Macaca fascicularis: one gene and its partners. The protein of the gene in region 7 interacts with the protein of the main gene of each other region in a pairwise test. Links are inferred from orthologs where the notes say so. Each region holds a gene or a part of one and is shown on either strand. Other genes may lie near its edges. The genes, in order: NEFL, DUSP21, PPP1R18, CCDC198, HYI, ZNF414 and TEX11.

What was found.
Region 1: the proteins of TEX11 (region 7) and NEFL interact in a two-hybrid assay, tested with the Homo sapiens proteins (2 studies listed by BioGRID and IntAct). The two-hybrid records come from large-scale screens. The link is inferred for Macaca fascicularis from reciprocal best matches to the Homo sapiens genes TEX11 and NEFL.
Region 2: the proteins of TEX11 (region 7) and DUSP21 interact in binary tests that used the Homo sapiens proteins (3 or more experiments, as listed by UniProt). The two-hybrid records come from large-scale screens. The link is inferred for Macaca fascicularis from reciprocal best matches to the Homo sapiens genes TEX11 and DUSP21.
Region 3: the proteins of TEX11 (region 7) and PPP1R18 interact in binary tests that used the Homo sapiens proteins (3 or more experiments, as listed by UniProt). The two-hybrid records come from large-scale screens. The link is inferred for Macaca fascicularis from reciprocal best matches to the Homo sapiens genes TEX11 and PPP1R18.
Region 4: the proteins of TEX11 (region 7) and CCDC198 interact in binary tests that used the Homo sapiens proteins (3 or more experiments, as listed by UniProt). The two-hybrid records come from large-scale screens. The link is inferred for Macaca fascicularis from reciprocal best matches to the Homo sapiens genes TEX11 and CCDC198.
Region 5: the proteins of TEX11 (region 7) and HYI interact in binary tests that used the Homo sapiens proteins (3 or more experiments, as listed by UniProt). The two-hybrid records come from large-scale screens. The link is inferred for Macaca fascicularis from reciprocal best matches to the Homo sapiens genes TEX11 and HYI.
Region 6: the proteins of TEX11 (region 7) and ZNF414 interact in binary tests that used the Homo sapiens proteins (3 or more experiments, as listed by UniProt). The two-hybrid records come from large-scale screens. The link is inferred for Macaca fascicularis from reciprocal best matches to the Homo sapiens genes TEX11 and ZNF414.

The regions. Positions count from the first base shown.
Region 1 is NC_088382.1:28,137,965-28,142,158, reverse strand, and holds the start of NEFL (neurofilament light polypeptide), read left to right. Parts: upstream 1-1,394; 5' UTR 1,395-1,491; coding exon 1,492-2,535; intron 2,536-3,709; coding exon 3,710-3,834; intron 3,835-4,194. UniProt on the Homo sapiens protein: Neurofilaments usually contain three intermediate filament proteins: NEFL, NEFM, and NEFH which are involved in the maintenance of neuronal caliber.
Region 2 is NC_088395.1:44,903,829-44,908,000, forward strand, and holds the start of DUSP21 (dual specificity protein phosphatase 21), read left to right. Parts: upstream 1-1,372; 5' UTR 1,373-2,282; coding exon 2,283-2,852; 3' UTR 2,853-4,172. UniProt on the Homo sapiens protein: Protein phosphatase component of the sperm flagellar doublet microtubules. May act as a regulator of sperm motility by mediating dephosphorylation of sperm doublet microtubule proteins.
Region 3 is NC_088378.1:141,971,609-141,975,108, reverse strand, and holds part of PPP1R18 (phostensin), read right to left. Parts: coding exon 3,039-3,500; intron 1-3,038.
Region 4 is NC_088381.1:125,322,274-125,326,456, reverse strand, and holds the start of CCDC198 (factor associated with metabolism and energy), read left to right. Parts: upstream 1-1,383; 5' UTR 1,384-1,525; coding exon 1,526-1,748; intron 1,749-4,183. UniProt on the Homo sapiens protein: May be involved in tuning the metabolism, energy expenditure, and excretion processes.
Region 5 is NC_088375.1:191,320,929-191,325,123, forward strand, and holds HYI (putative hydroxypyruvate isomerase), read left to right. Parts: upstream 1-1,395; 5' UTR 1,396-1,451; coding exon 1,452-1,849; exon of another isoform or gene 1,850-2,215; coding exon of another isoform or gene 2,216-2,262; intron 2,263-2,919; coding exon 2,920-3,034; intron 3,035-3,192; exon of another isoform or gene 3,193-3,225; coding exon 3,226-3,304; intron 3,305-3,392; coding exon 3,393-3,442; intron 3,443-3,526; coding exon 3,527-3,596; intron 3,597-3,699; coding exon 3,700-3,834; intron 3,835-3,931; coding exon 3,932-4,044; 3' UTR 4,045-4,084; downstream 4,085-4,195. UniProt on the Homo sapiens protein: Catalyzes the reversible isomerization between hydroxypyruvate and 2-hydroxy-3-oxopropanoate (also termed tartronate semialdehyde).
Region 6 is NC_088393.1:9,204,934-9,209,040, forward strand, and holds the start of ZNF414 (zinc finger protein 414), read right to left. Parts: upstream 2,801-4,107; 5' UTR 2,678-2,800; coding exon 2,675-2,677; intron 1,976-2,674; coding exon 1,663-1,975; intron 1,348-1,662; coding exon 1,240-1,347; intron 1,130-1,239; coding exon 1,024-1,129; intron 599-1,023; coding exon 255-598; intron 175-254; coding exon 124-174; intron 25-123; exon of another isoform or gene 1-24. UniProt on the Homo sapiens protein: May be involved in transcriptional regulation.
Region 7 is NC_088395.1:77,572,374-77,576,510, forward strand, and holds the start of TEX11 (testis-expressed protein 11), read right to left. Parts: upstream 2,801-4,137; 5' UTR 2,696-2,800; coding exon 2,672-2,695; intron 1-2,671. UniProt on the Homo sapiens protein: Regulator of crossing-over during meiosis. Involved in initiation and/or maintenance of chromosome synapsis and formation of crossovers.

The DNA of each region.
Region 1 (4,194 bases), on a different chromosome or scaffold from region 7:
GCGATATACAAACAAAACAAAAACTAAATGCTTGCTTAGATAAATCTTAGGTGTTTCCCATAAATCTCTGCAATCCCTCCATGAAACCCGGGGGACTCCTAACATCACGCATGTGAAAATGCCCTGCAAACCGCATGGCTGTATCCACGTGCGCTACAGCGTGCACCAGTTTCAGGTATCTGGGTGCTTCCTGAAGGAAATCCATGCAATCCTGACTGCATCTGTTTTCGGGTTATTACAGTGTATCGGGGGAAGAATCACGCGGCTATAGCTATTTTCTATCTGTTCCTGAAGAAGCCTGGGTGCGGAGCTCTCCTCCCCTGAGACCACACCCGGCGCTCAGGGCTGGCCGCAGCGGCTTCCCTGAAAATCAGCCACCTGCAAGGCTTGTCGAAATCATCAGGTTGTGAGCTACACATGTGTAAAAAGACGGAAGCGGACTTTAAACGTGCTGCGGTTGGTGGAAGCAAGCAGGAATTTAGCTTGGTGAGGATCCAGGCACATTGAAGCTCCCCGCCGCGGAGCGCGCGGCTGCCTCAGCAAGTCAGTCTCCGTGTTAGCTTCCAACTCTTTCTCTGCCCTCCGCCACCCACACACTGCAACACGATAAAAGCATCCGCGGCTTCATTCCCAGTTAAGAAATGTGAAAATCTAGAAACACCAAGAGGCGGATTAACTGCTCTAAAGGTTTAGAAATGCTAAACCAACACCTGCCGTAGTGCCGCAGTTTCACGAGTGTGTGTGTGTGCGCGCGCCCGCGCGCACTCGCGCTCACATTCCCTATGTGTTGAGAAGCAGAGCATTAAAGAAAAAGAAAAATAATCAGGAGAAAGAAAATGAATTGCAGAAAGTGCCAGAAAACTGGAAAGAAATTAAAAGTTCTTCATACATACTGCATACACACAACCTAGCCTATTTATTTGTATGTAAAATCCCCTAGCAGCACTATCACCATATACACCAAGGGGAATAATTAAGGAGGTCCCTGGTGGGAAAAGGGAGAGTTGGGGGGACAGGGTGTGTGCGAGGTGCCGGGATACCGAAAACTCGGGTGTCAAAAGGGAGCAAGAACCTGTTTTGGGGACACTTAAGGATCCAAGTGTCACGGGGTTTGGGCGATGTAGGAAGGGAGGGGCTGCGTGGGCGGGCACAGAAGGGAAAAGAGTAAGGGGGCATGGGATCTCTGAGAAAATCAGGGGCCTCTGAGCAAAGTGGAAAGGACGAGCGCCGCAGCTACCCTGGCCGTAGCTCGCCCCCGCCTTCCCTTTTGCGCAGAATCCTTGCCTTGGTTGCAGCAGCGCGCTGCCCCCACTGGCCGGCGCGCAGTGATCGATCGCAGGCTGCGTCAGGAGCCTCCCGGCGTATAAATAGGGGTGGCAGGACGGCGCCTAGCCGCACACAGCCATCCATCCTCCCACTTCCCTCTCTCCCCTGTCCTCTCTCTCCGGGCTCCCACCGCCGCCGCGGGCCGGGGAGCCACCGGCAGCCACCATGAGTTCCTTCAGCTACGAGCCGTACTACTCGACCTCCTACAAGCGGCGCTACGTGGAGACGCCCCGGGTGCACATCTCCAGCGTGCGCAGCGGCTACAGCACCGCGCGCTCCGCTTACTCCAGCTACTCGGCGCCGGTGTCTTCCTCGCTGTCCGTGCGCCGCAGCTACTCGTCCAGCTCTGGATCGTTGATGCCCAGCCTGGAGAACCTCGACCTGAGCCAGGTAGCCGCCATCAGCAACGACCTCAAGTCGATCCGCACGCAGGAGAAGGCGCAGCTCCAGGACCTCAATGACCGCTTCGCCAGCTTCATCGAGCGCGTACACGAGCTGGAGCAGCAGAACAAGGTCCTGGAAGCCGAGCTGCTGGTGCTGCGCCAGAAGCACTCCGAGCCATCCCGCTTCCGGGCGCTGTACGAGCAGGAGATCCGCGACCTGCGCCTGGCGGCGGAAGATGCTACCAACGAGAAGCAGGCGCTCCAGGGCGAGCGCGAAGGGCTGGAAGAGACCCTGCGCAACCTGCAGGCACGCTATGAAGAGGAGGTGCTGAGCCGCGAGGACGCCGAGGGCCGGCTGATGGAAGCGCGCAAAGGCGCCGACGAGGCGGCACTCGCTCGCGCCGAGCTCGAAAAGCGCATCGACAGCTTGATGGACGAAATCGCTTTTCTGAAGAAAGTGCACGAAGAGGAGATCGCCGAGCTGCAGGCGCAGATCCAGTACGCGCAGATCTCCGTGGAGATGGACGTGTCCAAGCCCGACCTCTCCGCTGCGCTCAAGGACATCCGCGCGCAGTACGAGAAGCTGGCCGCCAAGAACATGCAGAATGCTGAGGAGTGGTTCAAGAGCCGCTTCACCGTGCTGACCGAGAGCGCAGCCAAGAACACTGACGCCGTGCGAGCAGCCAAGGACGAGGTGTCCGAGAGCCGTCGTCTGCTCAAGGCCAAGACCCTGGAGATCGAAGCATGCCGGGGCATGAACGAAGCGCTGGAGAAGCAGCTGCAGGAGCTGGAGGACAAGCAGAACGCCGACATCAGCGCTATGCAGGTGAGGCACCCGCCCGAAACACAAGGGGGCGGAGGACTCGAGCAACGGGGAGAGTTGGTGGGCCCAGAAAGTGGAGACTAGGGGTGGTGCGGCTGCATGCAGCTCTTAGGGATAGGGCTTGGCTCCTTGGCCACTGTGTGGGAGGGGTGGGGCACTTGGAGGGCGTCAGTGAGGGCGCGACTGTAGTCTGGGAGTGTGCTCGGTGCTGCTGCACCCGAGTTCCGCATTAAAGCTGCCCGGCCCCTGTTGGGTGGGGGAGGGGAAGACATGGGAATTGGGCGTTGCCTCCGGCCTGCAGTGAGATCTGCTGTCTACTGACCTGCATTAACTACAAGTTACTTTGCAGCAACTATGGGATCATCTGGTTAATAAATACTAGAGTGAACAACTCTCAATTAATTCTGAAAGATTACTGTGACCGGCATGCTTTATGACTAGTTTTACCAACCACTCCCTTCCTTTATTTAGTAGGTAGACAGGAAAATAGTCAACATTGTTTTAGGTAGTTAACTAGTGATATTCATAGTAAAGCATTTCTTTAACTTTTTTTTTAATGTGTAAAATCTTCTACAACATTTCTGTTTAAACATCTCCATCTTCTGGGGAGTAGAAAAAATAAATTTTTAAAAAGATGTCCATTTTGAAAGATCTCCATCTTCTGGGGAGTAGACATTTTTTTCTTCTTTTGGGAGTAGAAATTTTTTTCTTTTTCTGGGAGTAGAAAAAATAATTTAGATACATAGGAAATATTTTAGAATTTTTTTTTTTTTTTTTTTTTTAACATCTGGCTATTTTCTTCTCCTATAAAGAAAGGCGTTAGTTTCCTGGCATGTAACCCAGCTAAAGAATAGTTAATCAGTGAATGAGAAACGCAGTTTTTCCATCAACTTAGTTTGTTTGCAGGCATTTTATGATGATCATTAAACAGTATTAAGTAAAGAAATAGAAGAACAGAATTTTCTTCTATCTTTTTTTTCATCTCAGGCTTCATGAACTTGGGTATTTTAGGCAAGAAGGTTTTTAAAAACATACAGGAAGTTATTCTAGGGGAGATTTTATCACCTTGTGTGCACCTTGATTTTAATCGAAACTAGGCCTTTGCAACTATACTACAGTAAAATAGAAGGGATTTATGCTTGGATTTTTTTTTTTTTAATTTTTTGTCTTCAAACAGGACACGATCAACAAATTAGAAAATGAATTGAGGACCACAAAGAGTGAAATGGCACGATACCTAAAAGAATATCAAGACCTCCTCAACGTGAAGATGGCTTTGGATATTGAGATTGCAGCTTACAGGTGAAAACAGAGGGGCAAAGATAGCAGCCATTAAACCTTAGGAAGAAAATCAGATCCCATTTAAAGTTATGTTGGATCAGAAACCTTCAAGAATAGTCCTATTGAAATAATGAAGTGTTAGTTTTTGGCTTCTTCCAAGAAGGTATTTAGATATATAAGAATTTAACCCTGTAATGAGGAGTCCTGTTTTTAGCTTCTCATTACATTTTAAATCAAATAGGATGACTTAATTTTTTTTTTCTGGTCTCCATCAAAAAAATCCCCAGGCATTAAGTTTTGGTAAATCCCAACCCTGCTCCTGCTTGCCTTTGTCTTTACGGTGCTCAGAGCAAGTCGTGAAACACAGGTTTTTGTTTTTTT
Region 2 (4,172 bases), about 33 Mb from region 7:
TTTCTTCACTAAATAACAAGGAAAATTGCCTCCATCAGTGTGCTTAAAAAAAAAGAGGAAAAGTAGAGACAAGTGAGATCTGAAAGTGACCTGCTTCCAAACTCAAGGGGAGAAAATGTTATCTATCCAGGAAAAGCTCCATAGTGGACTTTTAAAACATCCAACATCCCTCAGACTAATAGGTGTCACAGAATATGAAGAATAAATAAATGAATATATTTAATACGGGTCATGCTTGTCTTTGAAAATAGTGTCTGTGGCCGGGTGCGGTGGCTCATGCCTGTAATCCCTGCACTTTGGGAGGCTGAGGCAGGTGGATCACCTGAGGTCGGGAGTTTGAGACCAGCCTGGCCAACATGGTGAAACCCCGTCTCTACTAGAAATACAAAAAATTAGCTGGGCATGGTGGCGCGAGCCTGTAATCCCAGCTTCTCATGAGACGGAGGCAGGAGAATGGCTTGAACCTGGGAGGCGGAGGTTGTGGTGAGCCGAGATTGCACCACTGCACTCCAGCCTGGGCAACAAGAGCAAAACCCTGTCTCAAAAAAAAAAAAAAGAAAAGAAAATAGTGTCTGAAATTATTTTGTTAATTTTTCTATAGTTTTAAAGTTTAAGAAGTGTATACTTATGAAATAACTAGACACCAATACTAGTTTAGGGCCTCCACATTACTACATAGATTACAAAGCTTCTCCCTTAGCCAGGTTGAGCTGTCCCCAACAGACAGTTTTCATATTTATTTAGTATTTGTGTTCTATTTTCTTCCAGATAGATTTGTGGGGACTGACAATTTAAGTAATGCAAATTAATTTTATTATGACAACCGAGAAAAAGAAATATGTGTTGTGTTTTGAGGTTATCGTTTCCTTGACCATCATAAGCAGCCTGATATCTACTTCATCTTTGTTCATAATCACAGCACACCTTTGAACACATACCAAAATGATGATGGAATGAGAGCAAAGTATGTGAGTCAATTGGCTGCTCTGCGAAACAGTTTGTTAGTTTTAGGCTATAGTTCTTTTCAATTTTCAGCCAAATTCTATAAAAATCTTAGCTGGAAGGAAATGCAAATGTCAGGTTGCATTTTAGAAATTAATTTTTGGGCTGGGTGCGGTGGCTCTTGCATGTAATCCCAGCACTTTGGGAGGCCGAGGTGAGAGGATCACCTGAGGTCAGGAGTTTGAGACCAGCCTGGCCAACATGGTGAAATCCTGTCTCTACTAAAAATACAAAAATTAGTCGGGTGTGGTGGCGCACTCTTGTAATCCCAGCTGCTTGGTCGGCTGAGGCACAAGAATCACTTGAACTCAGGAGGCAGAGGCCTGGGCCTCTCCAGCCTGGATGACAGAGCAAGCCTGTCTCAATTTTTGGCCCAATTACCATGTAGCATTAACTTGTTCCAGAATGTGTAATATTACTGGGAAGACAGCATCGGTAGTGGTCAAAGTGATTTGTGGTTCACAAAGCATGTGGGCATTCTTTTTGAAGAAAGTAAACAAAATAATTTGAACTATTGTTTCAGTCATTTGAGCTGTATGTACAAACGGACTATGACACAGCTAAATTAGTCACAACTGTCCACCACAGGCCAACTTCAAGATAAAGGGTTATATATCAGTTAGCAATGCTCCCTTACAACCAGCCCTGATGTGTTTGTAAGCAGGAAAAAAATTTTATGGTTGCAATCAACAAAGAAATATCAGGCCAGTCCACCAAGCCCAGCCAAATCCCATATCTCGCTCCAGTTTTATAGAGATTAGCGTATCACATGAGCCAAATGCTGTTCCCCAACTTAGAATGTGATGTTGCTATTTTGCAGGGAAAGTGTAAGCCCTGTTCTGCAACACTGATGAAATAGAAGTATTCATAAATACTGTGTTTAATGTGGTCCAATAATTGAAACATAAAATAGATATCTTGTAACAGAACATTTTTAAAAGTCAAGAAAGATAAGAATTAGGCCTTGGAAAATAAATGACTATGAAGAAAGATAAAAATAAAACAGACTGGGGTGTCTCTGAAGACCCTGCTTAGAGGCCTTGTCCTCCTTGCAGCAAGCGGCCATTGCCATGGAAACCACAGCCGCAGGGCTATCTGTCCGAGATTGTGACGCCCAGATGGGAGTGGTGGGAGGAGACAGGAAGAGGGTGGTGACCGATGGCCGGTCCTCTTTCTCCAACACCTAGCCTGAGACTTCGCGGCGCGGCTGCAATCCTGAACTAGCTTGGTAAGGGTTGTGCCCTGAACCAGCATAGAGAGACCTCGGACCAGCCGCCTTGATGACAGCATCCGCGTCCTTTTCATCATCTCAGGGTCTCCAACAGCCCTCCATCTACAGCTTCTCCCAAATAACCAGCAGCTTGTTTCTCAGCAATGGTGTAGCTGCCAACAACAAAATCCTTCTGTCCAGCAATCGCATCACCGCCATTGTCAATGCCTCGGTGGAAGTGGTCAATGTGTTCTTTGAGGGCATTCAGTACGTAAAGGTGCCTGTTACCGATGCTCGTGACTCTCGTCTCTGCGACTTTTTTGACCCCATTGCTGATCTTATCCACAGCGTGGATATGAGGCAGGGCCGCACGCTGCTGCACTGCGTGGCTGGAGTGAGCCGTTCCGCCTCACTGTGCCTTGCGTACCTCATGAAATACCACTCCATGTCGCTGCTGGACGCCCATGCATGGACCAAGTCGCGCCGCCCCATCATCCGGCCCAACAACGGCTTTTGGGAACAGCTCATCAATTACGAATTCAAGCTGTTTAGTAACAACACCGTGCGCATGATCAACTCGCCGGTAGGTGACATCCCTGACATCTATGAGAAGGACATACTTGCAGTGATATCAATGTAAGCCATCCCGGCCAGCCCTTGACATCTGCCATCGATCTGGCACCAAGACTGAACTTGAACACTGACATTTTGTTAGTAAAGAAAACCGGTTGGTGCCTTGTTAAGGGGCAAGAAAAAAAGGGAGGGGGTTGGAGTTTTGAATGTAGTAAGCCTTACCTTAATAGAATTAAATTCACGAAATGTAAGATGGTGAAAATGTTTTTTATCTTGTGAGGTCAAGCTATTGGGGCCTGGCTGGAACCAGGGTGCGGCAAGTGATGCTCAGCTCACATAGACCTGCCAGCAGCACCCAATACATGTGGCAGGCCTGGAATTCTGAGCCCTGCCGGAGGCCGACTAACTCAGGAGTGAATCCCCTAGAATCTCACCTGGTTCTTTCCAAACCAAAGTCAAAGCCTTAGACATCTTGGCATCCCTTGCACTTCTCCCGGTAAGTGCCAACCTAGTGGATAAGTGACTTTCATTCAAGCTTTGCTCCAGGAGCTCTGGAGGAGGCTCAGGCTACCCTTGCCCGCCTTCAATCACAGTGGCCCATCTCTGGTTTTCTAGATTGAATTTATACATTAGTTTAAAAAAAAAAAAAAAAAACTAGTTTTTTAAAAGACCATTCCACTCCATAAAGTTTAAAAATACTGTACTTTTTGAGTGCTATACTTGATGGCAAGGTCTCAAGGTGTCTTTGGTGATCTCCCACCAGCCTTTGTGAAAAGGGACATTAGTCCTTTTCCCAGGGCATATACTGAGAGAGAACAGGCCTGACACCAGGTCTCAGGGGTTCCTCTCATGAACCTTGGCTTAAGAGGCTGGAGCTGCTGGCCATGACCCAACCCTGTCACCTCTAACATCTCCTTTCATTGTGACCTGGGTCCCCTCAAAGCTTCACTTTCCTCACCTGTCAAAGCAACTCTCTCCCATAGAGTTGTTGTGAGGACTGGGTTCCTTAGCACAGTACCTGGCACATGAATGGTTTCATGCTTGGAGTAAAGGGCAATGATACTCTTTGACCCTGGTTTGAGGTCAGCACACTCATCCTCATAATGGCATTTCCCCCTTCTGTGCACAGTCCTTTGTTGTTTACAAAATGCTCTTCCAAAAAATCATCAAGTGTCTAAAAACAAATGGCTGAAGGTCCTTTTGGACCTTACCTTAGAATGGGCCTAGATTCGGGCATGGTGGCTGGCACCTGTAGTCCCAGCTATTCGGGAGGCTGAGGTAAGAGAAGCACTCGAGCCCGGGAGGTGGAGGTTGCAGGGAGCCAAGATTGAACCATTGCACTCCAGCCTTGGGTGACAGAGTGAGACTCTGTATCGAAAAAGAAAAA
Region 3 (3,500 bases), on a different chromosome or scaffold from region 7:
CTTCCTGACCCTCTAAGTTCCACTGTTCTTTTTTTTTTTTTTCATAGTCACTCACCACCTTCTAACTTCCTAGATAATTTACTAATTTATTATACTCGTGTCTGCTGTTGAAAGAAGCTTGGGGCCGGGTGAAGTGGCTCACACCTGTAATCCCAGCACTTTGGGAGGCCAAGACAGGGGGATCACTTGAGGTCAGGAGTTTGAGACCAGCCTGGCCAACATGGTGAAACCCCGTCTCTACTAAAAATACTAAAATTAGCTGGGCTTGGTGGTGTGCGCCTGTAGTTCCAGATATTCAGGAGGCTGAGGATGGAGAATCACTTGAAGCCAGAAGGTGGAGGTTGTAGTGGGCCGAAATCTCACCATTGAACTCCAGGCTGGGAGACAGCAAGACTGTCTCAGAAAAAAAAAAAAAAAAAAAAGAAAAGAAAAAAGGAGCTTGAAAGTTGCTACAGTGCAAGAGTTTAGAGTTTGTTCAAACCTCAGATGAGGTGCCATCAGAGGACCAATGCTGGGGAAACAATCTGGGGGTGGTCCAGCCTATACATATTTGACCCCCCAGTTCATGTCTGTGGAACTGCTGGTACAATCTAGTTATAGCAGCCAGACTGCTTATATCCCAAGTTCTCAGAAGCGACCACTTAGTTTCTGTTACTGACAGATTTACCCACATTTCTGGGAACCCATTTTTGTTTTCTTCTCATATCCTCTTTTGGAATAATAACCTCTGTACTTTATTATCTATTCTGAAAAAGGACTTATTTTATTTGTTCTCGGTCTATGTTTGTATCTCCCCCCTACCCTGCCTCTCTCCTCACCCCCCACCAGCTTCTGACTGGACTTCTCAGGAATGCACAGCCTGCATGGGAGTGGGGGGGCGGGTAGAGAGAGGGTGACTCACTTGCTCCTCTCCCATCAGCTATATAAGGTCACAATAGGGCTGGTCTCTCAGCCCAGGAGGCCTCTGGGGTAGGGCACCAGCCACAGCCATCCCCTGGGCTCCAGTGGCAGGGCTGGGATTTCTCTCCTGATGGCAGGGATAAGTTTGATGGACTTAGCCTGCAAACGAGTTATTTAGGGAAGGTGAAGCGGGGGTTGGTGGCAGGGTCCTCCTATCTCCTATTCCTGAGCCAGTGTGTTGCAGCAGAGCTGGGACAAGGCACCCAGTCCCTGAAGAGCAGGGTGCTGAGAGTGGGGAGAGGGTGGAGGGTGAGGCATCTGGGTCAGAAGAACTCTGTGCTGCCTCTTCCCCACCCCCACCCAAGCAGTGGCTGCTTCCTTATTCTCTCACCACATCCTGAGCACAGCTCTGGCAGGCCCAGAGCCCAGGGTTCCCCACTTAGCCCCACCAGCCTTCCGGCCTCCACCCCAGGCTTCCTGTTTGGGCGATCTGCTTCCGGCTCCCCTGCTCTCTGGCCTAGGTATGGTCACCAGCATGGGTCCTGCGCTGCACTTGCTTCCTGGCTCCCCTGGGATGCTCCCTGGGCTTTGGGCCCCAAAGCTTCATGCTTCCCTCTGCTCATTCTTCCCCAGAGGCACAAGCCTCTCTCAGTAGGAAGTGACTTTTCTGAACACCTCACCCGGGTAGCATTTCCGGACTTCTGTTTTTTTCATCTGCCCAGCCCTGAGGGGAACAGGATGGTAGCAGTCAGAGGGCTGAGGGTAGGTTCCCAAGCACCATGGCTCAGGGGTGTGAACTTACGCTTCATGTGAAGATGAATTGGGCAATCAAATGAACCCCCCTCCACCCCAGGCTTAACCCATATCTTTAGTCCCTGTGGTTCCCCACTGACACTGAGGACACAAAAAAATCAAATCTGAGGATGTTAACACAGGGGATGAGAATGAGACTGGGCATCCCAGGCTCTGGGGAGATGTGTGTGACTGGAGGGACTTCCTAAGTCTGAGATGTCTGAGGTGGGACCTCTCTCTCGCCAGAGATTTTCAAGCTGGAAACAGGTGGGCGTGCACAGGGAAGAAATGAGGCCAGGGCCAGGGGGAGTTAGCCTAGCTGCCCCCACTTTCCTGCAGGTCTTTGTTGCAAGTCTAACCTCTGACCCTCTGCTGGCCTCAGCCCCGACCCCTATCCAGAACTCCCACTGTGCTCCCTGGCCAGTGCCTGCTCTCAAAACTGTCTCCAAATTCACTTCTCTCTTTCACTACCCTAAGGGGAGGGAGAGTCCAGGATGGCAGGAAGAGAGGGGAAAACCGAACCCTAAGCCAGTTCTTGGGAGGGAGGGGAAACCCAGGGAGGAAGGACGGGGGAGTGAGGGGCGGGAGTATTTTGGAAGAGGAGAAGGCTTTTCTTGTCCCAAGAGAGAAGGGAGCACTGTCTGAAGCAGTGGCCCAGCTGGGGGTGTGCAACCCCGAGGTCACCCACTTCAAATGGCCTCTCTGTGTCTCTCCCATGGGGCAGACTCAGGGTTCAAAAGCCTTCTCTCTGCTCTTTGGCCGGCCCAGTTCCATCTCCCCTCTCCCCTCCATCCTAAGATGTCCCTATTCAGCTCTGCCCTCTTTCCCATGGGGCAGTTGGACCTTCCTCCATTCACTTCTCCCTACAGTTTCTCCCTAGAACACAAACGCACCCCCTCCGCCACCCCAGGCTCCCTATCCCTTCTCCGCAGAAAAACTGCAAGTGCTTTCACCCTCGTGACGCTGCCCTCACTGATTCAAGCTTGTCAGTTTGGGCTTTCCCACTGGATGGGCTGGGGCGGGTCACACTCAGGAAAGGAAGGAAAGAAAAGGGGGCTGAAAATTCAGAGCCCAAGGGAAGGGAGAATGAGCAGCCGGGCACACCCTGAAAGAGACACACCCAGAGACGGCCTTTGCTGGGGCAGGATCTTTTGGGCTCAAAATGGAACAGGAGGGCTCTGAGAAGGAAGGGTGTATGTGCAGAGCGAGGAAGGGTGGTGGCAGGAATTAACAAGAAAGAAGAGAGGAAGACAAGAAAACAGGGGTATAAAAAAGAAATAAAGACCAGAGTCCAAAGAGAATTGACAAGTGGGCTTCTAAGAAGTCTGGCTTGGCTGCTTCCCTACCTGTTTGTGGTGTCTTTCGGGGGACCCCTTGGCAAGGCAGCTGCGGCTGAGACGGAGGTAGCCCCCCAGAACCAAGATCTCCTCGGCAGTTGGGTACCGCTTCTTCCCAGCTCCTGGGACTGCAGCATCAGCTGTGGCTGGAGAGGTTGGGGTGGCTGGGGTCGTAGGGGGCACAGACCGCCGGGGGTTGACGGTGAAGGTGTGTCCACTGCGGCGGGGGGCCCCCACCCCTGGCCCTGCCTTCACCCCATAGAACAGGCGGCTCATGAGGGGATCCCCAGGAGGTTGGGGGGCAGTTGGGGCTGGGGGTGGGGGAGACAGAGGGGCTGGTGGTGGGGGCTGGAGTTCCACTGCTTCCTCTTCCTGCTGTCTCAGGCCTCCAGTCCCAGCGTCCTCTGGTGGGAGGGGGGAGGGCACAGAGCAGCAGTTTTGCAGGGCTCTCAGAGGCCTGCCCTGAGCTCC
Region 4 (4,183 bases), on a different chromosome or scaffold from region 7:
TCTGCCCTTAGAAATAATTAAACTGATTGTACCCCAAAATAAATCTTACTAGACCTTGTTCAAGTATTTTTATCCTTGTAATTAAACTAGTCTGTTTACCAAAAGTTGTTTTGTTTGCAGATACTGTTAATATATTAGTCTTTACTTATAAATCTCTCTGCTGCAGAGAAAATGATGTGGAAAATGCAAAGAGAATAAGGAAAAAACTAAATTCAGGCATCTTTTTAGATAAATGTGATTGTCTACCAAGACTTTCCAAACACCACCTTAGTCCCTTAGGAAATGGATTCTGCAAAGATGAAAAATACATTTTCTTTTAATTTCTCTATGGAGATGTGATGAACACACAAGTAATCTGTGGTCATGAACAATTAGAGCTTGAAAGTTAGTCCCACTTCTAAGTATAAAGAATAAAATAAAAATCACCCATAATCCCACCATTCAAAAATCACTACTCAATATTTCAGCATATTTCCTTCTAGTCTTTTTTCTACTTTAAAAATCATAATAGGCCGGGCACTGTGGCTCATGCATGTAATCCCAACACTTTGGGAGGCCAACACAGGTGGATCACTTGAGATCAGGAGTTTGAGACCAACTTGGCCAACATGGTGAAACCCCTTCTCTATTAAAAATACAAAAATTAGATGGGTGTGGTGGTAGTAGGTGCCCATAATCCCAGCTACTTGGGTGGCTGACTCAGGAGAATCACTTGAACTGGAGAGGCAGAGGTTGTGGTGAGCCAAGATCATACCACTGCACTCCAGCTTGGGTGACAGAGTGAGACTCTGTCTCAAAAATAAATAAATGAATTTAATTAAATTTAAAAACATAGTAAATAGGCTATCTTTTTATGTTTAAGAAGTTTTTCCCCTCATCCCCAGGAAAAAAGTTTCTATTATCCTCCTGTCCTGCAATGTATTCATCCCCTTCAAAGGCAACTCAAGTCATCAACAGAAAAATCAAATGACGCTTTAGCCACTCCGCTGCTTTCTTTCCTACTTGGAGGATAAATTCTTCAATTAAATTAAAGATTAACAACGCCTTGGTAATTAGCATGCATCCTCTTAGTTGCAAAGATGGCTTAGCTATTCTCAGCTGTTAGTTTTTTTACAAAGGTGCTTGCAGTGAAAGCGTCAAGTTTAAGACTTCTCTAAACCTCTGCTCTACATCTCTCTCTGTGTTAATAATCTTCCTGGTGTTAGATATTTGTTTAATGATCAATAGTGGCTTCTATTCCTATCACTGAGTATTTCAGAAAGCAGCATAACCAAGTCAATGTTTAACTGGATTCTTTGGGTCTGAAATGGCAAAGTTGAAGGGAAGTCTCCATGGAAACCAGCCTCCCAGGAAGTGGCCAAAAGGGTTAGTGTGCAGTGAAACAGAGCTAGAAGGATGCCATGAAGGAAATGACTGCTTTGTAAAGCCAGGGTAAACTTCTGAAATGCCTTGATTAAAACAAGCTATATTAAAGACCCCAAAACCACTTTCCTCGCAGCTTTCCTCTGAATGTCTTTCACATGAAATGGGCCTGAGTCACTCTAAGACTCACCCGAGGGTGATCAAAGTAGCACCTTTGCAAAACAAAGAGGTAGAGACTCCCTCAGCTGGCCCTGTGGACTTTGCATTCAATCAGAATTTGGAAGAAAAGACTTCACATTCACTGGCAAGACTGCAGGACCAGAATAAAGCCTTGGAAGGGCAGCTGCCACCTTTACAAGAAAACTGGTATGGAAGATACTATGCAGGTAAACATAAAACCCAGCATGAGATGTGTGTATCTGGACCAAGGAGCATTATTAATAGATTTATCTGACTGTCTCCATGATCTCAGAAAGTTTCTAAATTACTGAAATGTAGAGGAATTTAGGCTATCTTTGAAAACTCAAATCTTTCAAAGAGGATTGAATGTCAATTGAAAGTATTCTGGGTGCATTAGAATGGGAGTATAAACTGTACAAAGGGCTTTTCACCATTCCATATGAGAAGGATAAATCATTTTGTTTCAGCTCAGTTTGTAATGCTTTCAATATTTATACCTAGCTTTGACAGACCATTAAAATTATATAGATACTAATGTGATAAATGATAGCAATCGCATTTCAGTTAAATTCTAAATTTAAATCATTCTCTCCAGTATAGTTTTATGCACCGGGCTTTGTGGTTTTGAAAGCAGCACTTTAAGAGTGAGTTAATTCTAACATGAATTTTGAAACCACCCTAAACAGAATTGATTTATTACAGTACATTGGAGTGGATGAGTCACCCTTTTCCCAACCCCACATTCTTCATGGTCATCTGCAGAACTAACAGAATTCTTTCCCATTATGATTGGAAGCTCTGAGCCTGAAGTGGCTATAAATTATCCTGGAATATTTTATAAGCCATGTAAAATGTTTTATCATGACCACAATGATAATTAAACAGACATCTTCACTTAGAAAAATATATGTTTATTTTATATATATATATATGCATATGTATATTGTTTTCCCTTTCCTTCACCTTCTGGATCAATAACACAAATAAGTTTCCCTTATTGGATGCCTCATTCAGAAAGCCTCACATTCTCTTTTGGTACCTAGCAAATCTTGCCTGGAATGATTTTTCATGTCTACTGTCTGCAGAATTGATAACCTTTGGTTGTTTCTATATGGCCTATTTTTATGTTCTTTATGGTCTTCAAGTTCTTAAGCACATAGATGGGAATTTTCCCCTTAGGAAATTTTTTATGACAGACGAATAGGTGACAAGACACGATTTAAAAAATGGAGCGTGAGTGTGCACTAAGAGTATGCAATGCTCCTACTGAGGAATTCCCTTTTTATCCAAATCCCCATTGAGAGTTTTAAGATTTTGGTGATAGAGAGAGACTCTGTTTCAAAAAAAAAAGATTTAGGTAACTGAATAAATGGTGAAAGCTGATTCATGTGCTTTAGAGTCCCAACTGGAAAACATGCTTATGTCTGAAGTGACAAAATCACATTGAAAATAAATAACAAGGAGATCATGAGGATTCTCATGACGATCTCCCATATTCTCACCGCAGCTCCATCAAATACCAAATCGAACGACCTTGGGCAAGTTACTTCATCAATTTTTTTCACTTGTAATCAGGGGTAAAAATAAATGCCTGACACAGCCTATGCCATTTGAGGAGAATCTAATTAAATAATGGACTAACATCACTAAAATAAAAAAATAAGGATTAGTAAGATTTCTGAAAAAATAGCTGAAAATACTTACATTTTTAAATCCAATATGTTTGTTGTTTCCATCCTGCTCAATATGCTGGCATCTTTTCAAAAGAAAATAAGGACATAGTTTGCATACCACTAAAAGTCAGAGAGAACAAAGTCCTTAAAGCGGTCATTCACATGTCTTAAAGAGAAAGATGCATAATTATCCATGGATTTTTCCATTTAAAATGCAAAGTGGGACTGTAAAATACTCTGTGAAACAATCTAGAAATCAGAATGTGTCCAGATTATTAAAAGGGAAAGACAAGAACTGCACTCATGCAGCGTTGGTCATGGTAGCACTCCCAAGAGCTCAGGATAATCAAGCTGGAAAATAAAATCCATAATGGATCTGTTGAGCCTCTCTGTTTCCTAATAGAGGCTTAACTCTGTATCCCTGGCTTGTTTCATCAGGAAAGAATATTGATATGCTGTATTATAGTGGCAATCTGTGGAAATTTTTTTCACTAAAGGGGCTATTGAATTGTGTTCACACATACTCCATTTCTGTCTCATCTCTGTATAATCACCTATCTATCTATCTATCATCTATTTCATCTAAGAAGATTATTTTCATTTTTTAAAGTTATATATTTTTCTGATGTCTTATATTTCGGTGAGGAGATTTTATGGAATTAAAACAAGTCAATAAATTTCTATTTTCCAGGCCAAATTCTGTTTGAAAAATATTTGCAGTCAACATATTGGTAATTTTGTAATTCTTCCCCTAAATATGAACCTGAGTAGGAAGTTAGGAGAGCAGATATTAAATCCCAAGTCTAGACTAAAACAGTGTCATTTGCACTAATGTAGGTTCCCTGCTTTCTGTGTTTCATCTCCACATTCAACCTACAGGTTAGACATATATAACTGGAAAGGTACAAAATTGTGTTGATAAAGTCTAGTAACTAATGATTACCTGATCTAATAGTAAATTATATTTA
Region 5 (4,195 bases), on a different chromosome or scaffold from region 7:
CTAATGTTGCACTTTCAGCTTTTCTGTCAAAGTTAGCACAGACGATAGATCAAGATGACGTTTACTCATGAACTGTTGGGATATAGATTTATATTTTTCAAAGGAAATTTAAGACATCAATAACTTAGATATGTTCCTATTTTTGACCATGTAATTCTACCCCTAAGAACCTGCCCAATCAGGTGGGTTATTGTAGATGAAAGTAAAATCATTCAAATTATCTCAAGAAACATTAAGATGCTATACAGACAAAGAAACCCAGGAAAGTCTAAGCATCCCAGCCTTAAGTGCACAGACCTGGGGGCAGCTATGGGTTTGGGCACCCCTGGGACGACATGGGCTTCCCAGTGTGCTACCTCTATTCACAGGACTTGGTTCCCCTCCTTTCCGCTCTAGCTTTTCTTTACCATAGGACTCTGTCTTATGTCGTTTCTACAGCCCAGTCACCTTCTGGCAACACCACCTGTTGACTCTCAGCATTTCTTTGTTTGAACTCTTGATTGGTTATCTTATCTTTCCAAACCACGCAAGTAAGAGGTCTTTGACCAGTCTATGGATTGGCTGTCCTGGGATCAGATGACCTCCCTGGTCCAATCAGCTGAGGCTAAGGCTAAGAGAGGACAGCTCACCCATAGCTGCTCAATGGTGCCGTTTCCCTTGCAAAAGACAAACGGCGTGAACGGGCCAACACTGTGATGGACATCTCTAGAAAAAGACTTGAAAAAGAGTCAGAGATAGGGACTAAGAAGAGCATGAAAGTGCGCTTGCAGCGCGCGCGCACACACACAATATCCAACCACAAAGTACAATAAATGACTTGCTGCTTAGGTGTGCAACAATGAGCAGCGAAGGCACAGATTTTGAAGGCTATTGGAAAACACGAGGAAATGCTCACAAAATAATATTCCATGAAAAAGGGCTATAAAACCGCATATACCGAAAGATCACAATTTCCAAAGAAAAAAACTGCATATTTTAAAATTTGGACGGGAAAGCTAACAGGCTAGTGGTGTGATAACTGGTGGTATAAAAGTGCTTCTTTATTTGGTTATACAGCTTTCAAATGTTGCTTAACGAACAGATAGCATTTTTATAAACAGAGGAAAGACTCAGTATTAAAGTGCACGTCCCATCATTGCAACCTGGCCCTCGGGCAGCCAGCTCTCTCTGGCCCCGCGTCCGGCTTTCAGGTCCGGGAGCCCGGCCTCCCCAGCTTCTCCCGGCGCGGGCCCCGCTCCTTTTCCGGCCGCCCTCGCCCCGCCTCTTCGCCTCTCCCCGCGCTCCCTTTCTCGCTCACGGAAGGCGCTTTTCGCGAAGGCCCGGATTTTTACAGCACTTCGCTTTTCTAACCCGGAAGAGTGCACGTTTGTTCGCAGGGCCAGCAAGGAGAGCCCCGCCCCGCCCGCCGCCTTTGGAGCCTTCGGACTCTGCCCGGCCCGGCCTCCCCAGGCATGGCGCCGCTGCGCTTCTCCGCCAATCTGTCCTGGCTGTTCCCCGAGCTCCCCGGCCTCCCCGCGCGGCTGCGGGCCGCGGGCAGCTCGGGTTTCGAGGCCGTCGAGGTGGCCTGGCCGTACGCGGAGCCGCCTGAGGCGCTGGCGCGCGCCGCGCGAGAAGCGGGGCTGCGGCTTGTGCTGATCAACACGCCCCCGGGTGCGCCGCGGGCCGGGAGACTGGTGGGGGACGGGGCGCGGGCAGGGGAGTGCCCGAGTCGGGGGCTGAGGCCCGTTCTCTCTGCAGGAGACCAAGAGAAGGGGGAAATGGGGCTGGGGGCCGTCCCCGGGAGACAGGAGGCCTTCCGAGAGGGGCTGGAGCAGGCCGTGCGATACGCCAAGGCCCTGGGCTGTCCCAGGTACCCCGCCTCCACCCCAAGCCCCACCCCTCTGTGACCCATGACCCTGCCTCAGGTTCAGGTAGTCGAGGACCTGAGGTCTGAGACGCTCAGGAGTCTGAGGCCACTGGCCTATCTCCGCCTCTGCGGTCCTGGTCCTTTGTAAATTGCCTTTTGTATTTTATCTGTCCTGTGCCAGTCTGTTTGCCACTCTTTTATGCTCACCCCATGCTGGCATCCCATGCTGGGAGCTCAGTCTGCCTAGGAAGATAGGAGAGTAAATATATGCAGTGATCCATTTGAGGACAGCCCTATTCCAGGAAGCTGTGGGAGCAGGGGTAGGCACCTAACCCTGTCTGGATCAGAGAAAGCTGCTTACAGGTAGTGATGCTTGGACTGTCTTCAAGGAGTGGGCATTGCTTGATGGGCAGAAGGTAAAGTATTCCCGGCAAGGGTGCTGTGGCAAGAGGCAGCCTGGTGTGTTCAGCAGTGTTCCTAAGGCTGTACATATATGTAGCCTGTTGGGGTGGGGAGGTCTGGAATGTCTGTTCAGAGCTGGATGTGGCTGATAAGATCAGGGGATGATGGGAGGAGGTGGACGGCTCAAATGGGGCTGATCAAATGTCAAATCCTGCAGAGGCCAAACAGGCTCAGAAGGTACTAGCAAGAGGGGATCACTATTGGTCAATGGTGGGGGCAGAAAAAAGATGGGAAGAGTCTAAGTAGTAGATGCAAGGAGAGGAAGTAGAGACAGCAGCACGGAATACCTGAGAAGGGCAAGCAAGGGTCAGGATAATTTTTAAAGGTGAGAATTTAGCAGGTTATAGGTTGAGGAGAAGGACCGAGGGAAGGAAAGGTAGAAAGTACTGGAGGCAGGGGGCGGTGGGTGGACGCTGAGGTGTCTGGGAAAGGGCTTCCCCTCGGCCGTTACTGAAGTGTCTCTGAAAAGCGCTGGGATGCCTAGGCATCGTGGCTCAGGTGCCATGGACTGGAGACCTGGGGAGACAGGCAAGGGCCAGCAGTGTCAGGGAATCCTGGAAGAGGTGCAGAGAGCCAAGGGAGGCAAGGCCTCCAATCCATCTTCCTCACAGGATCCACCTGATGGCTGGCCGAGTACCCCAGGGAGCTGATCGAATAGCAGTCAAAGCTGAGATGGAGATCGTTTTTCTGGAGAACCTGAGGCATGCAGCTGGGGTTTTGGCTGAGGTGAGAAAGGTGGAAACACACATGTACTTACATGTCTTTGTGGGTGTGCGGAGGAGGGGGTGCACAGTGGGGACAGCACGTGAGGCTGCCAGCCTAGGTCAGAGGGACAGGTGAGGGCCTTGACCAGTGACTGACTGATGGGGGACGAACTTGGGAAGGAGCTCTATTCACAGCACCCGACATGCTGCTAGGCGGACCTCGTGGGACTGCTGGAGCCCATCAATACCCGCATCACTGACCCCCAGTACTTCCTGGACACGCCCCAGCAGGGTATGACCCCAGCCCTGTCTCCTTCTGTCCCTTTTGATTCCTGTGCTCTTCTCGAGGCTCACGGCCCCCTCCCTGGCTTCTCTTACAGCGGCAGCCATCTTACAGAAGGTGGGAAGACCCAACCTCCAATTACAAATGGTAAGTGGAAGAAAGGGGGTACTTTGAAGACCGGAAGGAGGGTGGGGCCTGCGGGGTCTTGGACTGTAGTATCCTCTTCCCCAGGACATATTCCACTGGCAGATCATGGATGGGAACCTGACAGGAAACATCCAGGAGTTCCTGCCCATTGTTGGTGAGAGGAGCTTCCTGTGCCCTCCCACCCTTTCAATCCCCACATCTGTTCTTCAGGCCCTGGCAGGAGCCTGGACCCCACATTTGTCCACATCTGTCCCCAGGGCATGTGCAGGTGGCACAGGTCCCAGGCCGAGGGGAGCCCAGCAGCCCCGGAGAGCTGAATTTCCCCTATCTGTTTCAACTGCTGGAAGATGAAGGCTACAAAGGCTTTGTGGGCTGCGAGTATCAGCCTCGAGGTGAGGGGTGGCCCTGGGGAAGGGAGCTCTGGAGGGACTGGACAGGGGATGTTTTCTCCTTGTGGGCTGAGATGCCCAGGCCTCCCTCTCCCTACAGGAGACACAGTAGAGGGCTTGAGTTGGCTACGTTCATACTGGGATAGGCGGGGCCACCCCGAGGTGGCCAGTGAGGGCCTGCACACCACCCACATGCCTCCAGACAGCGAGTGAGATCCCATCTCCTCCTCTGCATTAAAGATGACCCGCTGAACATTGTCTTATGTCTCTGTTATGGGGTGGGGGGACACATAGTGTCTAACACTTCAGTTTCTCTGTTGCTTCCCTCCCATTGAGAAGCCAGTGCCAGGGTTGCTGTGGAGGT
Region 6 (4,107 bases), on a different chromosome or scaffold from region 7:
CGGGACGGTGGCATTTGTGGCCCCCTGGGAAAGGGATAGGCACTGTTCCCTCCTGGTATCCACCGGACCCCGCAGGGCGCAGGAAAGCCCCTCCACCCCTCCCTGGTGGTCACCTGCACGCACCTGAGGGCGCGCCGGAGCCGCCCTGGGGTCTTCGGGGGCTGCTGCCAGCACCTGCGGTAAAGGGGCGGGTCAAGTTCAGAGTCGGGGCGAGGCCAGCTCACCCTCCTGGTGACCCCCACCCCCATACTCACCTTGGCTCTTTTTCCAGACGGCGGCGCTGGAAGCCGGCGGCCCGGGTGCAGCGGCCAGGAAGGGGCACAGGCGCGGGGGGCTTAGGCCAAAGGGCGCAGGGATCAAGTAGGGCACGAACGGTCCGGTGGCGGCAGGGGCGGGGGTCGTGAAAGGTTCCAGCAGCGGGAACGGCAGGCCCGGCGCTGACGCGAGGTCAACCTCCGGGGGACGCTCGGGCGCGGGCGGCTCTCGGTCGAGGGCCGGGGGTGGTGGCGGGGCTGGGCTCTGCGCATTCTCCACGCAAACATGTAGATGCTTGAAGAGCGAGCGGTGCGTGCGGAAGCGCAGGAGGCAGTTCTCACACCTGGGGGTGGGCAGAGGGCTGGGCTGGGCCTCCAGGGAGACCAGAGAGAGGGTTCTGTGCAATGCCACCCGCCCTTCGAGTGTGGGAACGGAGCCTGGGCACCAATCGCCTCCCCGCTCCCGTACAAGCGTGGCAGCGACCCTTCCTGACCACTACAGGTGCTGGTTTCCTGGGGAAACCCGGAAAGAAGTCTCAATTTTAAGTTAGGAGGCCGGTTTTCCACTTGGGAGGCAACGCCTCGCGGGGTGGAGCCACCCCCACTTATGCCCCGCCCCATCCAGCGATGTAGGGGCGGGGCTTCCCCCAAAAGGCCACCCACATCAAATCCCGCCCTCCAACACCCTGACCAGGAAGGGAGGAAGGCCTGGAGCCCACACACAGGGTGAGGCTAGGGCAGGGCGGAGCTCAAGAGGTCAGGGTCTCACTTGAAGTAGCGATTGGGCTTGTAGTGCAGTTTGCTGTGAGCCACCAGCTCCTGCATGCTGGGGAAGGTCTCGGTGCAGCTCAGGGCTGAGCAGCGGAAGAGCTTGCCTGGTAAGGATGAAGACAGAGGAGTGGAAAGGGGTGGTCAAGGCTGGCTCCGAGGGGCTCCACCTGTTTCCCACCCTAACCTGCCTCCCCATTACCGGTCCTGGCCCTACCTTCCAGGGACTGTGTGGGCGGACAGTGGGTTCGAAGATGCTGTGCCAGGTCACGGACGCTGGGAAAACTGAGGGAGCAGCCAGGGCTGGAGCAAGGGATTTGCTTCCCTGCAGGACGCACAGAACAGGGGTCACTGGTCCCTTCCTCACTAGTGCTGTCCCTGACCCCAGGGCTCTGCCCCAGAGAAGCAAATATGATGCTGGGGCCTCTACTCTCTGCCTACCACAACAAACTGATCTGCCACAGTGCAGGGGCTGGATTGGCCACGCTCACCATTGGAGCCACAGCCTGGCATCCACTGGCAGCACAGTAAAATGATGAGTGGCATCCCTCTAGAAAGGCCCTTAGGTTAGAGATTCTCTACTTCTTGCTTCTATTGTTCCAGGGCCCGTGACTCCCCAGAAGGTCCCATCACAGATCACCTGGAGGTGGGCGTCGTCTGGGAGGCCGCAGGTCCTCGCTGGTCCCGGAGACTATGCTGGTCGGGCCAGGGCTGGGTCCGGGGCCAGGCTGGCAGCTGTCTGGGGCTGGGGAGGAGCCCTGCTGCATCCCTCCAAGCCCTCCACGTTCCCACACTGGTGGTGTGGCTGCCTGCTCAGGGCCCGGCTCCTCCGCCATGGAGGAGGAGGTGGCGGCAGATGGCACAGCCGGGGACAACAACTCCTTGTCGGTCTCACTGGAGCTGGGCTCTGCAGTGGCCGGCATGTCTGGGCTGGGTCCTGAGGGTTTCTCCTCCTGGTGGAAGAGGCAGAGATAACCCTTCTGGGCTCTGGGTCAACCCAGTCAGCCCCCATCCTAAGGAATCACCAGCAGGAGAGGATAGGGGAATACGTAAGGTTGGACTAAGCTCCTTTTTCCTTTTTATAAAGATGGGGGTTTCGCCATGTCCCCCTCGCTGGTCTTGAACCCTTGGTCTTAAGTGATCCTCCTGCCTCAGCGTCCCAAAGTGCTGGGATTAAAGGCGTCAGCCACTGCACTGGCCCAGATTGAGCTTCTTATGTACATGGGAGAAGCATCTCCTCAACTAGGATAAGTGGGAGCCCCAGTATGCGACACAAGCGTGGCCTACAGGGAGTGGGCGGGGCCAAGAATACGGAGGCGGGGCTATGGGCAGAGAGCGACTGGGAAGATGCTAGAGGAGCTACACACGGATTGTCTGAGGACCGAGAAACACTGGCCAGCTGCGAGCCGTGTGGACAATCTTGGAGGTGCTAGGAACCCGGATGTAATAAGTTTTGGGGCGGAGTCCTAGCCTGGTGGGCGTGGTCCATTCCGGGCCCGGCCGGGAAGTAGGGCGCTCTCCGAGTGACAGCCAGCGGCAGACGGGTGCCCGGATGTGGGGGCTGGGTCGGCCGGAGGATGTATGCGCGACAGGGCCGCTTCCCGCCACTCCCCGCCGCTCCGCCGCGCCCGCGACCCCGGTGCCGCGCTCACCATCTTCGACACGGCTCGGCCTCTTGTTCCTGCGGCTTCGGCGGCTCCAGCTTAGGCGGCGGCCACCCTCTGGGCAATGCGAGCTCGCGCTCACGTCAGCGCCATTTTCCGTCTCTCGGCTCTCGCGAGGTTGGAGGCGGGGCCTGCGCAAGGCGTTCGGATAGGGGGCGGGGCCTGAGGGCAGAGTGAACGTGGAGTGCAACTTGGACGCTGTTGGAGTCTTGCTATCCCAGGGTAATCAGAGCGCACTTCAGGCGACTCCGTGAACAGAGGTCCGGGTTCAAAATGGGCACCTTCATCCCCTCTAGTCTTGTCCCAATATCAGCCCTGGACAGGCGATAAACAGCAGTTCTTATTTTATTTATTTATTTTTTGAGACGGAGTTTCGCTCTTGCTGCCCAGGCTGGAGTGTAATGGCACGATCTCGGCTCACTGCAACCTCCGCTTCCCGGGCTCAAGCGATTCTCCTGCCTCAGCCTCCCAAGTGGCTGGGATTACAGGCGCCCACCACCACGTCTGGCTAATATTTTGTATTTTTAGTAGAGACGGGGTTTCACCATGTTGTCCAGGCTGGTCGTGAATTCCTGACCTCAGGTGATCTGCCCGCCTCGGCCTCCCAAAGTACTGGGATTACAGGCGTGAGCCACCGCGCCCGGCCAGTTCTTCTTTATTTTTTATAGTGTTGAGACAGGGTCTTGCACTGTCGCCCAGACTGGAGCGCAGTGATGCGATCATAGCTCGCTACAGCCTTGACCTCCTGGGCTCAGCCGATCCTCCCATCTCAGCCTCCCGAGTAGCTGGGATGACTGGCGTGCGCCACCGTGCCCAGCTACTTATTACATTCTTTTTAGAGGCAGGATCTCTCTGTGTTGCCCAGGACGGTCCTGGGCTCAAACGATCCTCCCGCCTCGGCCTCCCAAGTGTTAGGATTGCAGGCGTGAGCCACCTCGCCTCCCCTTTCACTCACATTTTAAAATGGGTAAACAGCATCGCTTGAGCCAGGGAGGTCGAGGCTGCAGTGAGCGTGATGGCACCACTGCACTCCTGCCTGGTCGAAAAAGCAAGACCCCATCTCTAAAAGTGAAATAAAAATAAATTAAAATGGGGAAATAGTAAATCAACAAGTGCAAAAACAATCTTTTGTCCTATTCAGTGCAATGAAGGAAACAATGAAATGTGGAAGTGATGGGTCAGGGAAGCCACTCTGAGGAGGTGACTTCGGAGCTGTCTCCAGATGATCGAGGAGTGAGCTGGTGGAAAGCCCGAGGAGCGGGGGCTTTACCGGATAGCTGGTGCAGATGTCCTGGAGTGGGGTGGGACGGGCTTATTTTGGTCAAAGAGCAGCGAGGAGATGAGAGCACCACTGGAGCAGAGTGGAGCGGGGGTATGGAGGTCAGAAAGTGAATATGGTGCACGGCAGGTCATGCAGGGCC
Region 7 (4,137 bases):
CTATTAATAGAAATGTAAAATGCTATAGTTGCTATGGAAAACAGTATGGCGGTTGCTCGAAAAATTAAAAACAGAATTGTCGTATGATACAGCAATTCCAATTCTGGGTGTATATCCAAAAGAATTGAATGCAGGGACTTGATCAGAAATTTCCATACCAATGCTCATAGCAACATTATTCACAATAGGCAAAAGGTAGATGCAACCCAAGTGTCCATCAACAAATGAATGGATAAACAAAATGTGGTATACACATACAATGGATTATTCAGTCTTAAAAAGGAAGAAAATTCTGACACATGCTGCAACACGGATGAACCTGGAAGACATTATACTAAGAGAAATAAACCAGTCACAAAAAGACAATTATTATATGATTCCACTTACATGAGGTACTGAGAGTAGTCAAATTTATAGAGACAGAAAGTAGAATGGTGGTTGACAAGCTGATCTCAAAATTCATAAGAATTTTAGGCCGGGCACGGTGGCTCAAGCCTGTAATCCCAGCACTTTGGGAGGCCGAGACGGGCGGATCATGAGGTCAGGAGATCGAGACCATCCTGGCTAACACGGTGAAACCCCGTCTCTACTAAAAAATACAAAAAACTAGCCGGGCGAAGTGGCGGGTGCCTGTAGTCCCAGCTACTTGGGAGGCTGAGGCAGGAGAATGGCGTGAACCCGAGAGGAGGAGCTTGCAGTGAGCTGAGATCCGGCCACTGCACTCCAGCCTGGGTGACAGAGCAAGACTCCGTCTCAAAAAAAAAAAAAAAAAAAAAGAATTTTAGAGGGCAAGGGGGAGTTGCTTAATGAGTACAGAGTTTCAGTTTTGCAAGATGAAAAGGGTTCTGGAGAATGGCTGCACAATGTGAACATACTTAACACAAGGGAACTATACACCTAAAAATGATTAAGACAGTAAATTGTATGTTATGTGTGTTTTACCACAATAAAAAACACAACGAGATAAGATAACACTTCAAACCCACTAAAATGACTATAACCAAAAAGACAAATAATGAAAAATGTCAGCAAGGAGGTGGAAAAACTGGATCCCTCTATCCCTCTTTTTTTTTTTTTTTTTTTTTGAGACGGAGTCTCGCTCTCTCGCCCAGGCTGGAGTTCTGTGGTGTGATCTCGGCTCACTGCAAGCTCCACCTCCCGGGTTCACACCATTCTCCTGCCTCAACCTCCCGAGTAGCTGGAACTACAGGCACCCGCCACCACACCCAGCTAATTTTTGTATTTTTAGTAGAGACGGGGTTTCACGGTGTTAGCCAGGATGGTCTTGATCTCCTGGCCTCGTGATCCGCCTGCCTTGGCCTCCCAAAGTGCTGGGATTACAGGCATGAGTCACCACCAACTGGATCCCTCTTATACTGCTAGTGGGAATGTAAAATGGTACAGCCATTTTGGAAAACAATCTGGTAGTTCATCAAAAGTTTAGAGTTATCACATGGCCCAGCAATTTCATTCTTAGGTACAAACCTAAGAAAAATAAAAACATAAAAATCTGTACATGAGTATTTATAGCAGGATTATTCATAATAGCCAAAAGGTGGAAGCAATGAAAACGTTCATCAATAGATGAATGCACAAACAAAATATGGTATAGCCATACAATGGGATATTATTCAGTCATAAAAATGTATGAAGTACAAATACATGCAACAACATGGATGAACTTTGAAAACATGGGGCTAAGTGAAAGCAGTCAGTAAACCACACATTGTATGATTTTATTTACATAAAATGTCCTCATTAGGCAAAACCATAGAGACCAAAAGTAGATTAGCGGTTACCTAGGGCTGAGGGTGAGGGAGGGAAGGGGATGGGAGGAAATGGAGAGTGTTTGTGAATGGGCGTGGTTTCTTTTTGAGGTGGTGAAAATATTCTAAAATTAACTAACCGTGGTGATAGGTGCACAACAACTCTGGGAAATACTAAAAACTATTGAATTGCATACTTGAAATGGGTGAATTGCATGGTATGTAAATTATATCTAAATAAAGGTATTTATATATACATAAACACATACATACATATATAGATACATATATATATAAAGAGGAAGAGAGATTTACAATAAACTTTCTTCTCACCTTTCCATATAAGTAATCACCAAAATGCAAGTATTTGCCCAAGGTAAATGTTCTCAAAAGTGTTTCAAGCCTCAAGACAATTTCCATATTAAGTAAGTAACAGACCTTCATTTAAACATTAGAAAATTACCCCCCAAAAAAGCACTTCTGAAGGCTTATAGTCAACTGAGTTCTCCACTACTGGGTGGCTCCACTACTTTGCTGCAAAGGGAAGGAAAAGAGAACTCGTGTGTGCCCAGGACCTTATGTATGTTATTTTGTTTACTATTCACAACAACACTTAGAGGTGGGTATTACTATTATCATTTAACAGATGAGAAAACTGAAGCCTGGAGAGGTTAATAAATATTAATAATATATAACATTACTAATAAATAATAAATGTTTAAACTTGAGCACATATTTTTCCATTGGTTTCTAAAATTTTTTTCCCCTAAATTAGGTGTGAACATCCAAAAATAGATTTTTATATGTTTAGCAAGGGTTAAGACTACTTTTTTATCTATATAATACATTGGTTAAAATGAAGAATTATCAAAACTTGTCATAAACAGAATTATTTTTATACTAACCTGAGCGTCTGTTATTTCAGCCATAGACTCCCTGTTGATATTTGCTATGTCTCTGAAGAGTCTATCAATTGCCTCTGGTATGTTAGGTGAATTATCACTTGCAACCAGGTTTTCAACAACTTCTGAAATAACAATGGATGATAAATGTGCTGTGAACTATTACCATTGGCTAAAAGTAGCAAATCATTTTTAAACCTATTCCTAAATCATTGGCCAAATGAATATAGCATGAAGGAACTTGATCCTTAGAGTAAAACCAAACTGGAGATTTAAAGTTTATTTAAGCAAGAGTATAATTTTCAAATAAAATTTGCATTCTTTGGGAGTCACTTGTTTATAACTTAATCATTATTCATTCTCAGAAAGGAAAATGCATTGACTTCACTAATAGTAAAGTTATTAGGTAATATTAAAAGTACAAAACAGGCCAAGCATGGTGGCACACATCTTTAGTCCTAGCTAGTCCAAAGGCTGAGTTGGGAGGATCACTTGAGTCCAGGAGTTCAAGAATACGGTGAGCTATGATCCTGCCACTGTACTCCATCCAGCAAGGGCTACAGAGTGAGACCCTTTCTCTAAAACAAACAAAAAAAACCCTACAAAACTGAACTTAACAGTGTCTTCAAAACTAGAAAATGTAGAAAATCTGAAAGATCTGGATATGTGCCCTGTAAAACTGAAAAACTTATTAATATTTTCAAGCATTAGACAGACATAGCAAACTGCTGGCTCTGAAGTCTTGACCTTACTTTGTGAGAAAAAAAAAAAATGACATGCTCAATTAGCAACAACATTAACCAGCTATTGAATCTGCACAAATGATGTCACCATTTTCTAAATGGTCTCAGCTCCAGACTCCACATAGCTGAATCTTACTAGGCCATGGAATTCCTTAAAACCCAAGCATTAGCTGTGCACAATGTTCCACGCCTGTAGTACCAACTACTCAGGTGGCTGTGGCAGGAGGATCCCTTGAGCCCAGGAGTTTGAAACAGGCTGGGCAACATAGCAAGACACCATTTAAAAAAAACAAAAAACAAAAACAAACAAAAAAAAACACTAAAACTAGGTCAGGCGCAGTGGCTCATGCTTGTAATCCCAGCACGTTGGGAGGCTGAGGCAGGCGGATCACTTCAGACCAGGAATTCGAGACCAGCCTAGTCAACATGGCAAAACCCCATCTCTATTAAAAATACAAAAATTAGCTGGGTGTGATGTGCTCGCCTGTAATCCCAGCTACTGGGGTGGCTGAGGCATAAGAATTGTTTGAGCCTGGAGGTTGAGGTTGTAGTTAGCTCAGATCGTGCCACTGAATTCCAGCCTGGACAACAGAGCAAGACTGTGTCTCAAAAAAAAAAAAAAAAAAAAAAAAAAAAACCCTAAAACTAAACAATAAGCATGATGTAGAATCTCAATTGATGCCTTTCATATTATCAAAAAAATTTTTTCAAACTCATGTGACATAA